Linked DNA regions of Coturnix japonica. The protein of the gene in region 3 binds, or shares a complex with, the protein of the main gene of each other region. Links are inferred from orthologs where the notes say so. Each region holds a gene or a part of one and is shown on either strand. Other genes may lie near its edges.

Region 1 (3,998 bases), on a different chromosome or scaffold from region 3:
ATGAGCAGGACTCCACACCCACCTCACTGCATTACCCTGCCAGAACCCCACTCCTACATCTAGTCTGAGCAACCGCAACAAGTTCCCATTCATGCTACAAGATCAGCAGATAGTCCCTGTTGTGCTGAAGGGCTTCTATCTCTGCTCAGTCACCTTCGTAAGACCCCACTCTGGACTGAGGAGGGGAAGAAGGGAATAGAACTTTTCATCACACTGCTAGTTGTTTTAAAGCAGCTTGAGATTATGATATTGGATTTAGGAGAATTAGTTTATTCTACACTGCTTAATTACAAGAGCTGGAACTCTTAGTCCTGTAGCTCTGTGACCTGCTGGTTCCACAAGCCAGGCTGCGGAAGGTGCTATTTCAGCAGGATCACTTAGCAGCAGCATTCTTCTTCAATCACTCCAGCTGACTTTGCTCGCTTTGTTTTGGCCTTTGATTTCTTCTTCTTGTTGGGAATTTTGCTGCTTATAATGAAACAGCTTTTGTCCTGAGAACAAAAAAAAACAGCATTCTCAAGTCTGGTTTGGAGACACTTGAAGTACCAATTTATTACTAACTTCCTTTAGGAAGTTTTATGGACGCTTCAGAGAACTGCCCAATTTCCGCACATCCCAACATAATTCCAAAGAGCTCAGACTTCTCTCAAACCAATTTCCTCTTGTACTACACACCAAAACCACACAAACTGGTTAATTCCAGATCCAAGCTCAAGAATTAAGTACTCAAAGCATCATCTGTTACTTATTTAACACCTCAAAAGAGAAAACAGGTTATAGTTTTCAAATTATGGATGTTTACTCACCACTACTCTGACATCAAAGTCTTCTGGATTATCAGAGCCCAAGCAGTTATCATCGTCATTGCTGAAAGGCAGGAAATTCAAATCAAATCTGTACTTCTACAGTAGCGCAGCATAAACAAGCTGTTCTCCTAATGCAGCACCACTTCCTCATAATGCATATGGAAACGCTACAGCTTACAGGTCTGGGATGCTCCCACTTCTACATGAGGCTACACTGAGAGCCTGTGGAACAAGATCCTTATCTAAAGCCATGAGCTGTTACTTATTTTCTCTCTCTGCTCTTTTAAGGATGAGGAGAGAGCACACAACACAGCAGTGCTAAGCCAACAGAATCCATTACTGAGTTACAGAAAAATCCAAGAGGTATTTCACCAATTAATATAATGCACGTGCCAGACAATAAAGACAGCAATGCTGAACACACAGACTTTAAGTTGAGAACAAAACAGCAACTTTTATACTACTGAAAATGAACTTACTTTGTCTCCTGGATAGGAGAAATGGGGCCTTTGTCATCTAAATATTTATGTTTCCGCGCTGTCAGACATTCCCTTTCTAAGTCTTCATTTGCTTCAAGGGATTTCAAAGCCTTTTTGAGGTGTTCTTCAGCTTTAAGCATTTCAACATACTGGAAATATCCCTTCGCAGCTGCTTGCTGCAAAAAAAAGGAATAGATCTTAAATACAAACAAAGAAATGAACCATTTATATAATCAACCAGACTGTAACATTAAATGACAGCCTTAGGTCAGCTGGTTCTCTCCCACAAAACACAGGGCTCACCTCATAGCTAAGAACCATATTTACGGGAATATGTTTCCTCCCATAATGTTTTTCAACAAAAGGGAACTGAAAGCCTGGATCCCGAAGCCTTCTCCTTCGCTCCTGAGGCGGGGCTGTCATGGGCCGATTCCCACCACGCTTCTTTGGGGGTTCCGAGCGTCTCTTTGTCTTCCGTGAAACACCGCTCCTGTATCTTCGGTGCGCAGCAGTTTTAAACTTCCTTCCTCTGAAGTGATAGGCAAAAATGGCTTTCAAATCGAGCTTGGATTTCCTCCTTTGGGAGGGTTCAGGTGGCCTCACCGGGCTCTCAGGGAGCAAAGAGTCAGGACTTTCACCATCAGACACTCGTGCATCAGCTCCTGCTTGTTTCCTTGAAGGCTGCGATCTCCTCTTTTGCTCCGCAGAGGGAGCAGTGCATTTCCTAGAGCGTTTGCTGCCCCGAGCAGCTGAAACATCACTGAAAAAGAAACGTGTACATTCAACAGAGCACATACGTTTATGAGTCTTGTTCGTAAGTGATTCTAAGGAACCAGGTAACTCACATTTCTGAATCGCTGCTATCCACCTCAGATGAAGATGTATTTGTACTACTAGTCTCATCTGAAGACTCCTCAGGAGTGGCGTCCTTCTGCCTCGAGCACAAACGTCTCTTCCTTGCATTCACTGCACGCTCAGGTATTTTAGATCTTTTTCGCCTCTGAGTGGATACGAGACTCTGAGCATCAGGATCATCAGAACAAGAGGTGTGGGATTCATCTGTATCACTCATGTTTTAATCTGCCCTGAAAGAAATTAAATATGTTTTACCCCAGGCAAAGCTTTTCACATCCAAGGAACGTATGTGTCTCCCTCACAGTAGCCCCCTCCCGCCCACCATCCCGGGGCGGACATTTTGCGCGGTTCCCGCCGCTCTACCACAGCCCCGGGCCGCCATGAGGAGCCCATTTCCCACATCCCACCCGCCCCAGGGCCTTCCTTGCGCTCCGTCTAGGAATCGCTCAGCGACAGGATGTGCTTTGATTCTACCCCAGCCTCACAGCGGGTCCTCACACGGCGGATGGCAGCGGATTCAGCGCACCGCCATCACCAACCCAACACTCACCTCACGCTTCACCTCCGGAAAGGGCGCGCAATGGCCGCCCCCGAGCTTAAATAGCGCTCGGCTCTCGCGAGAGCAGGACGGGGCGGGGAGTGCCGTGAGGGGGGCGGGGATGGGCGGCCGCAGGTTGTGGGCATTGGCTGCGGTTCCCGCTCGCTGTGGGTCTCCAGAGGGTGGCTCCTGCAGGTTTGGCTCCGGGACTCTTTTTAGACTCTTTTTACCCTCGTTTACGTGGCCTGAATTTCCCTTCTCGCTTCTCTGCTGAGTTCATCTGCACGTTGGCGCTGTCCCTGTTGGCTCTGTGGCTCTGGCTGTGCTTCCTTCTCCCCCCAGCCCCCCGCTATGAAGCGTTTCTATCCAGCCATTAACTTCTCCTTTCCGTTTTCTGCCCTTTCCTGCTTGGAAAAGAAAAGCCGCAGTGTCTCGACGTGTCGGTTGTTTCCTGCCATCCCGTTTGCAGCGTTCCTGTGACAGCTTCCTTCACAGAAGGGAGAATCGCCCATAGAAGCGGACGAGCCCCCAGCTAAGATGGAAATCACTCTACATAGACAGCTTGCTTTCTTGCTCTATTGCTTGTTACAGGCAGAACTTGAGGTAGCTGAACTTTGAGCTCAAAGTCTCGCTTTTTCTTCCATGAAAGGTTCCTATTTTGTTACGTGCAGCAGGCGTGTGCCTAAGGAGTTAATGATTTCTGGGGCTGGTTTATAGGTAGCATGTAACCAGCTGCTTGTGCCTGGAGCTGCTGGTTTGCCCTCGTAGCAGGTTATGCTGTTGCATGACTGAAATATAGCTCGTTTCAAAAGAAGCTCCAACATTTCTGTTCTGAACAAAGCTTGCTGTGAAAGGCTCTGAGCTGATATAGAGTCCAGTGCTGTACAACTTGCTGCTGCTTTGGTGCCTTTGTTTGGCTTTGAGATGCACTACAACCTTCTTCCACTTTGGAAACACGTGCCTATAAGAAACTGGGAGCCAAGGTTGAAAGTCCATCATAGCCAATGCTGGAAAAGTAAACATTAAGGTAGTGAAGACCGGGTAAGGCAGTTATTGTGCTTAGAAAAGCGTGGCTTTGGGTTTACAAAGGACAGATAACTGACCTGTCCCTTGAATTAGGTTCAGCGTATTACATATTTTGTCTGTACTGAGATGGAAGTTTGAGGACTAACAGATGTAATGCTCTGAAGCAGCTGCAGAGCTGGTAGGCACACCTGCTTCCAAAGCACATAGAATCATAAAATCACCAAGGTTAGAAAAGACCTGAAAGATTATTCAGTACAACCATCCACATATTACTAATAGCTGCCACTAAACCAC
Region 2 (4,282 bases), about 12 Mb from region 3:
ATACAAACATAGGAAGAATAACGATGCCAAGTAGAAGGGAAAGACTGAGACCAAGGTATGCACACTGGCCAGCCCCTGCTTGTTTGTACAAAGCAGAATCGGGCTGGGCACTCTGCTCTGCACAAAACAGGCTACTTACAGATGTAATGATTTCGCACCCTGGCCAGGCGCACCAGGTTTTTCAGACCCTCGTGTCGGAAGACTTCCCTGCTGAACGTGTCCAACCGTGCGTTGGCTACTCTTGCCACCTTCTTTCCTAAAAGGAGAAGACAAAACAAGGTGGGCACCGGCAGCAGATGAGCACCTTGGGGTCACAAAAAGTACTTACCCCTCAAGCAGCAGAGGCAGCAAAGCCACATATAATTAGCACATCCCTAACATGAAACTCCAGCTTGGCAGAATTCATTTCCTCGAACAGTTCTAAGCCAAACACAAAGCCTGTATGTGCTCCTGGGCAGGACACAAGTCCTCCCCGTGCTCAGCTGTTACAAAGAGCAAGCTCGCTACCCAGACACCTAACAGTAGCACAGGGCTCTACAGACAGGCATGCAACACATAAGCATTTCAGGGAGATCTCAGTTCACTGCTAAAAACATTTGTGTGTGACAGCCACTCAGCCACTACAACCAGGCTCAAAACAGCACCAACTGTTGTTGATCAGCAAGACAACATCGCAATGTGTTATTTTCCCAACAAGGTTTGACTACAATCTCTACTGTCTCTATTCAGTCACTGCTAAGACTTGTTAGGAACGAGGCACTTTACAGCTGGAAAGAAAGTACCCTTGACGTTCTGGATCTCAATGACTCCAGGGGAAAAGCACTTCTGTAACGTCTCGGCTGCCTCATCCTCGATAGGCTGCAGGAGAGTGATGTCAGGAAGCAGTCGATAACTAGCTGTGGCCACAGGAGAAAACTTGGCATGATCTTTACCTGCACAAAGAGTTCAGAATTAAGGATGAGGACAGGCCTTGGGGTCAAGCTAGTTCTCCAGTGTTTCCCATCACACAGCTGTGCTCGAGTCCAAGCACCAGCACACCCACTCCCCAGCTCAGACCCAGCACTCACCTACACCCTTGACGCAGTGCATGAGCACATCTATTTCCTGCCCAGGTCTCAACAGTGCTATAAGGATGTCGTCGTGGACAGGTCGGAAGTCAGCATCCGGAAAGAGGTCTGTCTGATTCCCCAAGGGAACCCATGTCATGTGCTTACTGTACACTGCCAAAAGAAACCACGAGCATCAGCCAGCTGCTGCCTCAGAAAACAGGTTGCTGACCTGAATAGGAGATGGCACAAGCAAGCTATGTATACTGTGAGGAAATGAGCTGTCTCTGCTCACAAGGCAAAACACCAAGAGAGAGAAAGAAGAAAATGAACAAGAGAAAAAGCAGAAAGCTGCACCTACTTTTAGGGCAGGCACAAGGAGCTCTCACCTTTGTGATTGAAATACAGCTCGTTTGGGTCAGACGATTCCTTGGCTGCCTGAGGATTCCGGCTGCATTTTATTTTCAGCTGGAACTGCAGAGTATCAATTTCCGTCCCCTCTTCATCTCCTGGAAATGGCAAAACAGTATCTTTATGGAAGTGAATTCTGCTTTGTTGAAGTGTATCCAGGGGAGGGACACATGAATGACCCAGTGATGGAACATCTCTCCTACGAGGATGGGTTGAGAGCTGGGGCTGCTCAGCCTAGAGAAGAGAAAGCTGCAGGGAGACCTGGAAGCGGCCTTTCTGCACCTAGGAAGAGCATGCAAGAAAGAAAGGGACAGACTCTACAGCAGGGTCTGCTGTGATAGGAGAAGGGGAAACGGTTTGAGGCTTAAAGAGGGTAGATTTACTTTAGAGATAAAGAAAAAGTCTATTACTGAGTGAGAGTGGTGAAAATGAGGGTGGTGAGGCACTGGAACAGGCTGCCCAGAGATGCGGCTGATGCCCTGTCCTTGCAGACTTACAAGGCCAGGCTGGGCAGGACTCTGAGCACCTGGTCAGATGTAGGAGTCCCTGTATGTTGTGGGATCGTTGGACCTGATGGCCTTCATGATCCTACGGTGTGACCCCAGCTCCTGGTTATGGGCTCCACCCTCCCCACCGCTGTTCGACCCGAGCCCCTCACCTTGATTCCTGTACTCAAAGAGCCGCGGGTCGGCCCGGATGGGGATAAGGCCCAGTCGGTGCGCCAGGATCTCGTCCTGCACGATGGACGTGTTGTTGTACACAAACACCTTTTCCACAGCCATGGTCGGCACCTCGGGGGGACGACAGAGCGAGGCGATAAGCCGCCAAGCAGGGCACCGCACGGGGACCATCCACTCGTCATGTCTCCCAGCCCCGCGGTACCTCAGCGAGCAGGATGCGGCGGAACGCGTTGGCGATGGCCGCGTCGATGCCCACCATGTCGAACTCGAGCACGCCGTCCTCCTCCCGCACCACGTCCACGCGGAACCCCTGCTCGGGAACCGCGCCGCGTCACGACGGAGCCGAACAAGGGGCCCCGCAGCAGCAGCTCCATCAGCTCCATCATCTCCATCAGCTCCCACTCACCTCCTCGAAGCGCCGCTGGTCCCACGCGTCGTCGTACCCGGGGTAGTTGCCTGGGAAGTCAGTGGTGTGGACCTGCGGGGGGCGCAGCCCGTGAGGCAGCGGGGGGTGATGCGGGAGCCGCCCCGCGTCCCGCCGCCCCACGCACGTTGCGGACGCCGAACTCGCCCAGCACCACGCGCTCCCGCATCTCGTCCGTGCCGCGCCGGGCCGCCATCGCCGACGGAAGGACGCGCCGCCGCCCCGCCCCGCCGCACGTAAGGCGGCCATGCGGAACTGACGGCTCTCGCGAGACACGGAGCGGCCGGACCGTCACATCCGCGTTGCCGTCCCCCGTTACCGGCGCTATGGCCGCGGCGGGCGGCAGGAGCGGCACCGCCGAGTGGGGCGGCTTTGAGGACAACGTGCAGGTGGGGCCGGCCCGCGGGGGGGGGGACAGAGGGGCCCGAGCGGGCGCTGACGATCCGTGCATCGGAGCAGGGCGGCGGCTCGGCCGTCATCGACATGGAGAACATGGACGACACGTCGGGCTCCAGCTTCGAGGACATGGGGGAGATGCACCAGCGCATGAAGGAGGAGGAGGACGAGGAGGCGGAGGGCGAGGCGGGGGCCGGCGGGGAAGAGGACGGCGAGTTCCTGGGCATGAAGGGGCTGCAGGGGCAGCTGGGCCGGCAGGTGGCCGACCAGGTGAGTGGGCTCACGAGCCGCCAACAGCCCCGCCGGCCCCGGCCCCGCCGCTGCACGTACCGTTCTGTCCGCAGATGTGGCAGGTGGGGAAGCGACAGGCGTCCAAAGCGTTCAGCCTCTACGCCAACATCGACATCCTGCGGCCATACTTCGACGTGGAGCCCGTCCAAGTGCGCACCAGGTGGGCAGGGCAGCGGGTGCACGGGATCTGTTGCTTCTTAATGACTGTCCTGATGTCGTTCCCCGCTGTGCCGTAATGCAGGTTGCTGGAGTCCATGGTGCCCGTCAAGATGATCAGTTTCCCACAGGTGAGTTCTCTCTCACTGAACCAGACCCCACAGCCTGAGTGACTGTTCCACAGAGACCCCTCAGATGTAATTAGCCTGTTATTAAGGATCCAAGTCTGTTAGATGTTCACCTCCCTCAAAGTATCAGTAAACCCTTTCCTATGGTTGTTCCAAACCCCATTCTCATAGAATTGTAATCATAGAACATCCTGAGTTGGAAGGGACTCATAAGGCTCACCTGGCTCCATACAGCACCACCCATAAATCAGACCATATAGCTGAGATCATTGTCCGGATGCTTCTTCAACTCCAGCCAGCTCACTGCTGTGACCGCTGCCCTGCACAGCCTGTGCCAGCGCTGCCTTTACCTTCCTGCTACCCTTAACGCTGGTACAGTTGTAGAACTCTAGACCTCACTTTGCCCATTTCTGCATCCTGTTGAACACCACTCTGACTCATCACAGTCTGTTCTGTGTGGCTTCTGTCAGCAGTGGCCTTGCAGATGCTCCTCGGGTGATAAAAGTCTCCAAGATGCTCGTTATGTCTCTCAGGGTGGAGAGCCTGGAAGACAGGAGCACTAACTAAGCCTCATCTCTCTCTTTACATGTAGAAGATTGCAGGTGAGCTTTACGGACCCCTCATGCTGGTCTTCACGCTGGTGGCCATCCTGTTGCATGGGATGAAGACCTCGGACACTATCATTGTATGGCGAGTCTCAGTGATTCATTTGTGCTTTGACCGGGTTTGGGATTGCTATAATGACACTGG
Region 3 (3,315 bases):
CACACTTCACTGCAGAGACCCTCCTTAAATGCTGCTGACTCAAAGAGGCACACAAGACCACTCACTTAACCCACACTGCCTTCCTTACAACAGTTGCTGCTGTTGTAATCAGTGCTTCCAGCCGGTGCTGTTGTTCAACATGTTCTTCCTGTGGGAAGAGAACACAGCGCCCTGGAACATTTCAAGTGCTGAGATATCAAAACAAAGAAATTGGACTGATATGAATAAAACAGGTATTTCACAACAGCAGCCAATATACCAAAGGCGTTCTTAAAAGTGACCTACTACAGCACGTAAAAGCTGGAAATCTTTACCAGTATAAATTACTACTTCAAAAATCAGATTGTCTTCAAGAGCTACAGGAATTTCACAAGCATATCATGTGTGAACAGAAAAAGGGAGGTTTCAGCCAAAAGAATTTTTATTTTTCACAAAGAGGAACAACAGAAGAGGATAAATTTGATTCCAAGACATTCCATCCATCTGCTGACTTGCTAGAACATACCAGGTTGCAAGAAGATGCCCATTTTGGAAAGCAATTGATCAGCATGGAAAAGCAGTCTCCAAAACTGTCTCCAAAAAACTCACTTAAGATGTTGTTCTTTTGATAAATAGCAAACCAATGCATAAATCCATCTCAGCTCCTCCAGAAAAGAGGTACCATAATGGAAATACTGAGTTTAGCTTTTAGAACGGTGTACCTCAGAAATAGTGAAATGAGCATTCAGACTAGAGTACCTCCAAACAAATCATTTTTGAGGTCCTGACTGTGCATTACAACCTACTGCTTGGTCAGCCTTTAAACTTCAACATGCATTTGTTTACACAGCCTGTAAATACCTACTTAACTCATCTGCACTGAAGGTTCCTGTGATCAGAAAGTCACATTGGGATTTTTCTTTTAATAAGCACAACTACTTCAGTGCAAATTAGAACAATTTCATAATATTCTAGATTAACATAAAGGAAAAGAACAAATATATTTAAAGACTTACTTGATTTTTGAAGCATAGTATTAAAATCTATCATTAGTTCGTGAGAGGGAACAATATCATGCAAGCTCTGGGAAAAAAAAAAACAACACCCAAAACATACATTAAAATGATGTAAAAGCTTCTGAAGGCTTCTACCAAATCCAAAGCAGCAATGTCTGCAGAGTTCTTTAGTATTGTAGGAAAACTGTGCAATCAGGTACCCAATTGTCTTGATACAAATAATGACGACTGAAAGCTATTCTGCACATCTGTAACACTGCTTGGTGATAATACAGATGAAATGCCCTCATGACTACTGAAAAACCCTGCAACAACTGCAACGTTTCCAGCAGCAGCCTATATCCAGTGTCTTCTTTTCAGATAGCAACCCCTAGCCCAGTTCCAGCTCCCATCTGCTCTGTGCATTCGCAGGATGTATCAGACCAGTTTTCAGATTTGCCACTATCTTATAAAATTAAGCCTATAAAATTAATGTGAAAAATAAATAACACACTGTGAAGGTGAAACTTTACATATAACGGCCACGATCCAAGTCTAAACTCAATGAAGCTGTTTTAAAACCATTTACCCAAACAAAAGCATTTTAGTGCCATCAAGTGGCAAAAGAGGTTCAAAAACATTATTGGAAAAGTTATCAGTGCGCAAGGGCAACAAAAGGGGGAAGCTAAAGCAGCTACACAAAGGGCAATGATGCAGCAGGGCTTTATCTAACAGTCAGTAGAAGTAAACTTCTACTGAACCTTAAGTTAACTGCTTATTGAGAACAATGAAACTAACTGCGAGGTGGGATTGGTGTGTGAAAAAAAGCAAGCACCTCATCATTTATTCAACTCTGTAAAGATCAAACTACAATGGAAATTAATGCATGTTTACCTACATGTACTTCCTGAGCCATGGAAAATTGATCTGAGCTTGTTTACTGACCTTACGGTGCATCAATTACACATGTAGAACAAAGACAGTAAGGGATCCTATTTGCTCCACCCATTAGAACACCCCAACCCTTTGCTTCCCATTAAAAAAATACAATAAGGTAAATACTACAACAGGAGACAACTAAACCAACAGACCACTATGCAAAATGAACAACCACAGACTGCATTTATATGTTATATATACCTTGAGAGCAGATATGAGTGATTTCTTTGGTTCACCGTGTCTCTTTAGGAACTGATAGAAGTAAACATGAGCGTTGGGATTTGTGGGAAACTTTGCATTGTAAGCATAATCCGTTAATACTTCACGAGCTTCTTGGTGGTCTCCGTAGAATTCCATCAGCTAAGAAGTTAAGCCTGTCATTAGTTCACTTCACATTAGCAATTAAACACTTACAGTTCATTCTAGGCTGCTACAGAACTACCCAACAGCACCATTTGTATCTAGCAGCATAGCAAACTGGATGTGAGTTATAATGAAGTATTTTAATTTTACTGGTTACTCTTAACATAATTAACTAAAAATTCACACACAGAAGCAGCTACAGAGGAAAAATCACATTAGCACTTCCCTGGTTGTTAAAGAATCACCATCATTCCTCAATGGAAAAAAAAAAAAATGGAAGCAGACTGCCACGTCTTTGAAGAGAACTCGGAGAACTTGGCAGCTGTCAGCATCTAGTAAAATTCCATAAGAAACACTCTGACTTCTTTGAGTGTATCTGCACTTAGAGTGAACCTTTCCAATTCTAAGATTCACTTCTTAGTTAAAATTTGTGAGCAGATATTTAGAAAAAAAAAAAAAAACCACCAAAAAAACAGAGGGACCGCATGTTTGGCTTCCAAGATTTAGTACCACCAGAAAAACATCGTCCTGCCAAAAAGAGAACTTGCTTTCAGGAATTTAAACAAAGCAGCTGTGCTCCAATTTCTCTGCTAGCACCAGGAAAACAGAATGTGCAAGTTGGTTGCCTCTTTTCCTTGGCAGCTCACAGATAAAGCCCTTTTTATACACTACGCAGGCCCTGCAGTCCTACAGACATGCCTAAATCAAATCCAGAGGTTGTTTTTAAACTACTTGTCATCCACACACACAGCTGAACTACAGACTTGTATCTAAATGAAAATTAGACAGGCAAACACAAAAGGAAGAGACCTATAAAATACACTCTTACATCCACATAGGCTTTCACAAAGAGATCCCAGATTCCAGGTATTTTAATGATCTCCTTTAAGCTCACTGCTGCCTTCCGAAAGCGACTGTTCATTTCCTGTTCAACAGACAAGTCTTCAAATCCATCCTTCCCTATGAAAACATGAAAGAATGCCACAGAGTTAGCTTTCCTAGTTAAGAACTATCTTGAAGAAGTGGTGTACCTACAAGG

What was found. Proteins that work in one complex are often made in the same cells at the same time.
Region 1: TAF1A (region 3) and TAF1D share a complex: the UniProt entries of both Homo sapiens proteins name them as parts of the transcription factor SL1/TIF-IB complex. The link is inferred for Coturnix japonica from reciprocal best matches to the Homo sapiens genes TAF1A and TAF1D.
Region 2: TAF1A (region 3) and POLR1C share a complex: the UniProt entries of both Homo sapiens proteins name them as parts of the pol I pre-initiation complex. The link is inferred for Coturnix japonica from reciprocal best matches to the Homo sapiens genes TAF1A and POLR1C.

The regions. Positions count from the first base shown.
Region 1 is NC_029516.1:166,173,042-166,177,039, reverse strand, and holds the start of TAF1D (TATA box-binding protein-associated factor RNA polymerase I subunit D), read right to left. Parts: upstream 2,801-3,998; 5' UTR 2,691-2,800; intron 2,371-2,690; 5' UTR 2,358-2,370; coding exon 2,131-2,357; intron 2,046-2,130; coding exon 1,589-2,045; intron 1,462-1,588; coding exon 1,286-1,461; intron 868-1,285; coding exon 807-867; intron 492-806; coding exon 378-491; 3' UTR 1-377. UniProt on the Homo sapiens protein: Component of the transcription factor SL1/TIF-IB complex, which is involved in the assembly of the PIC (preinitiation complex) during RNA polymerase I-dependent transcription.
Region 2 is NC_029518.1:27,798,784-27,803,065, forward strand, and holds the start of POLR1C (DNA-directed RNA polymerases I and III subunit RPAC1), read right to left. Parts: upstream 2,801-4,282; 5' UTR 2,758-2,800; coding exon 2,689-2,757; intron 2,616-2,688; coding exon 2,544-2,615; intron 2,448-2,543; coding exon 2,340-2,447; intron 2,249-2,339; coding exon 2,116-2,248; intron 1,556-2,115; coding exon 1,436-1,555; intron 1,221-1,435; coding exon 1,068-1,220; intron 933-1,067; coding exon 783-932; intron 257-782; coding exon 140-256; intron 1-139. Other genes in the region: protein YIPF3, read left to right, coding at 2,888-2,950, 3,021-3,227, 3,302-3,408, 3,490-3,535, 4,125-4,217. UniProt on the Homo sapiens protein: DNA-dependent RNA polymerase catalyzes the transcription of DNA into RNA using the four ribonucleoside triphosphates as substrates.
Region 3 is NC_029518.1:15,722,394-15,725,708, reverse strand, and holds part of TAF1A (TATA box-binding protein-associated factor RNA polymerase I subunit A), read right to left. Parts: intron 3,237-3,315; coding exon 3,106-3,236; intron 2,274-3,105; coding exon 2,115-2,273; intron 1,063-2,114; coding exon 996-1,062; intron 1-995. UniProt on the Homo sapiens protein: Component of the transcription factor SL1/TIF-IB complex, which is involved in the assembly of the PIC (pre-initiation complex) during RNA polymerase I-dependent transcription.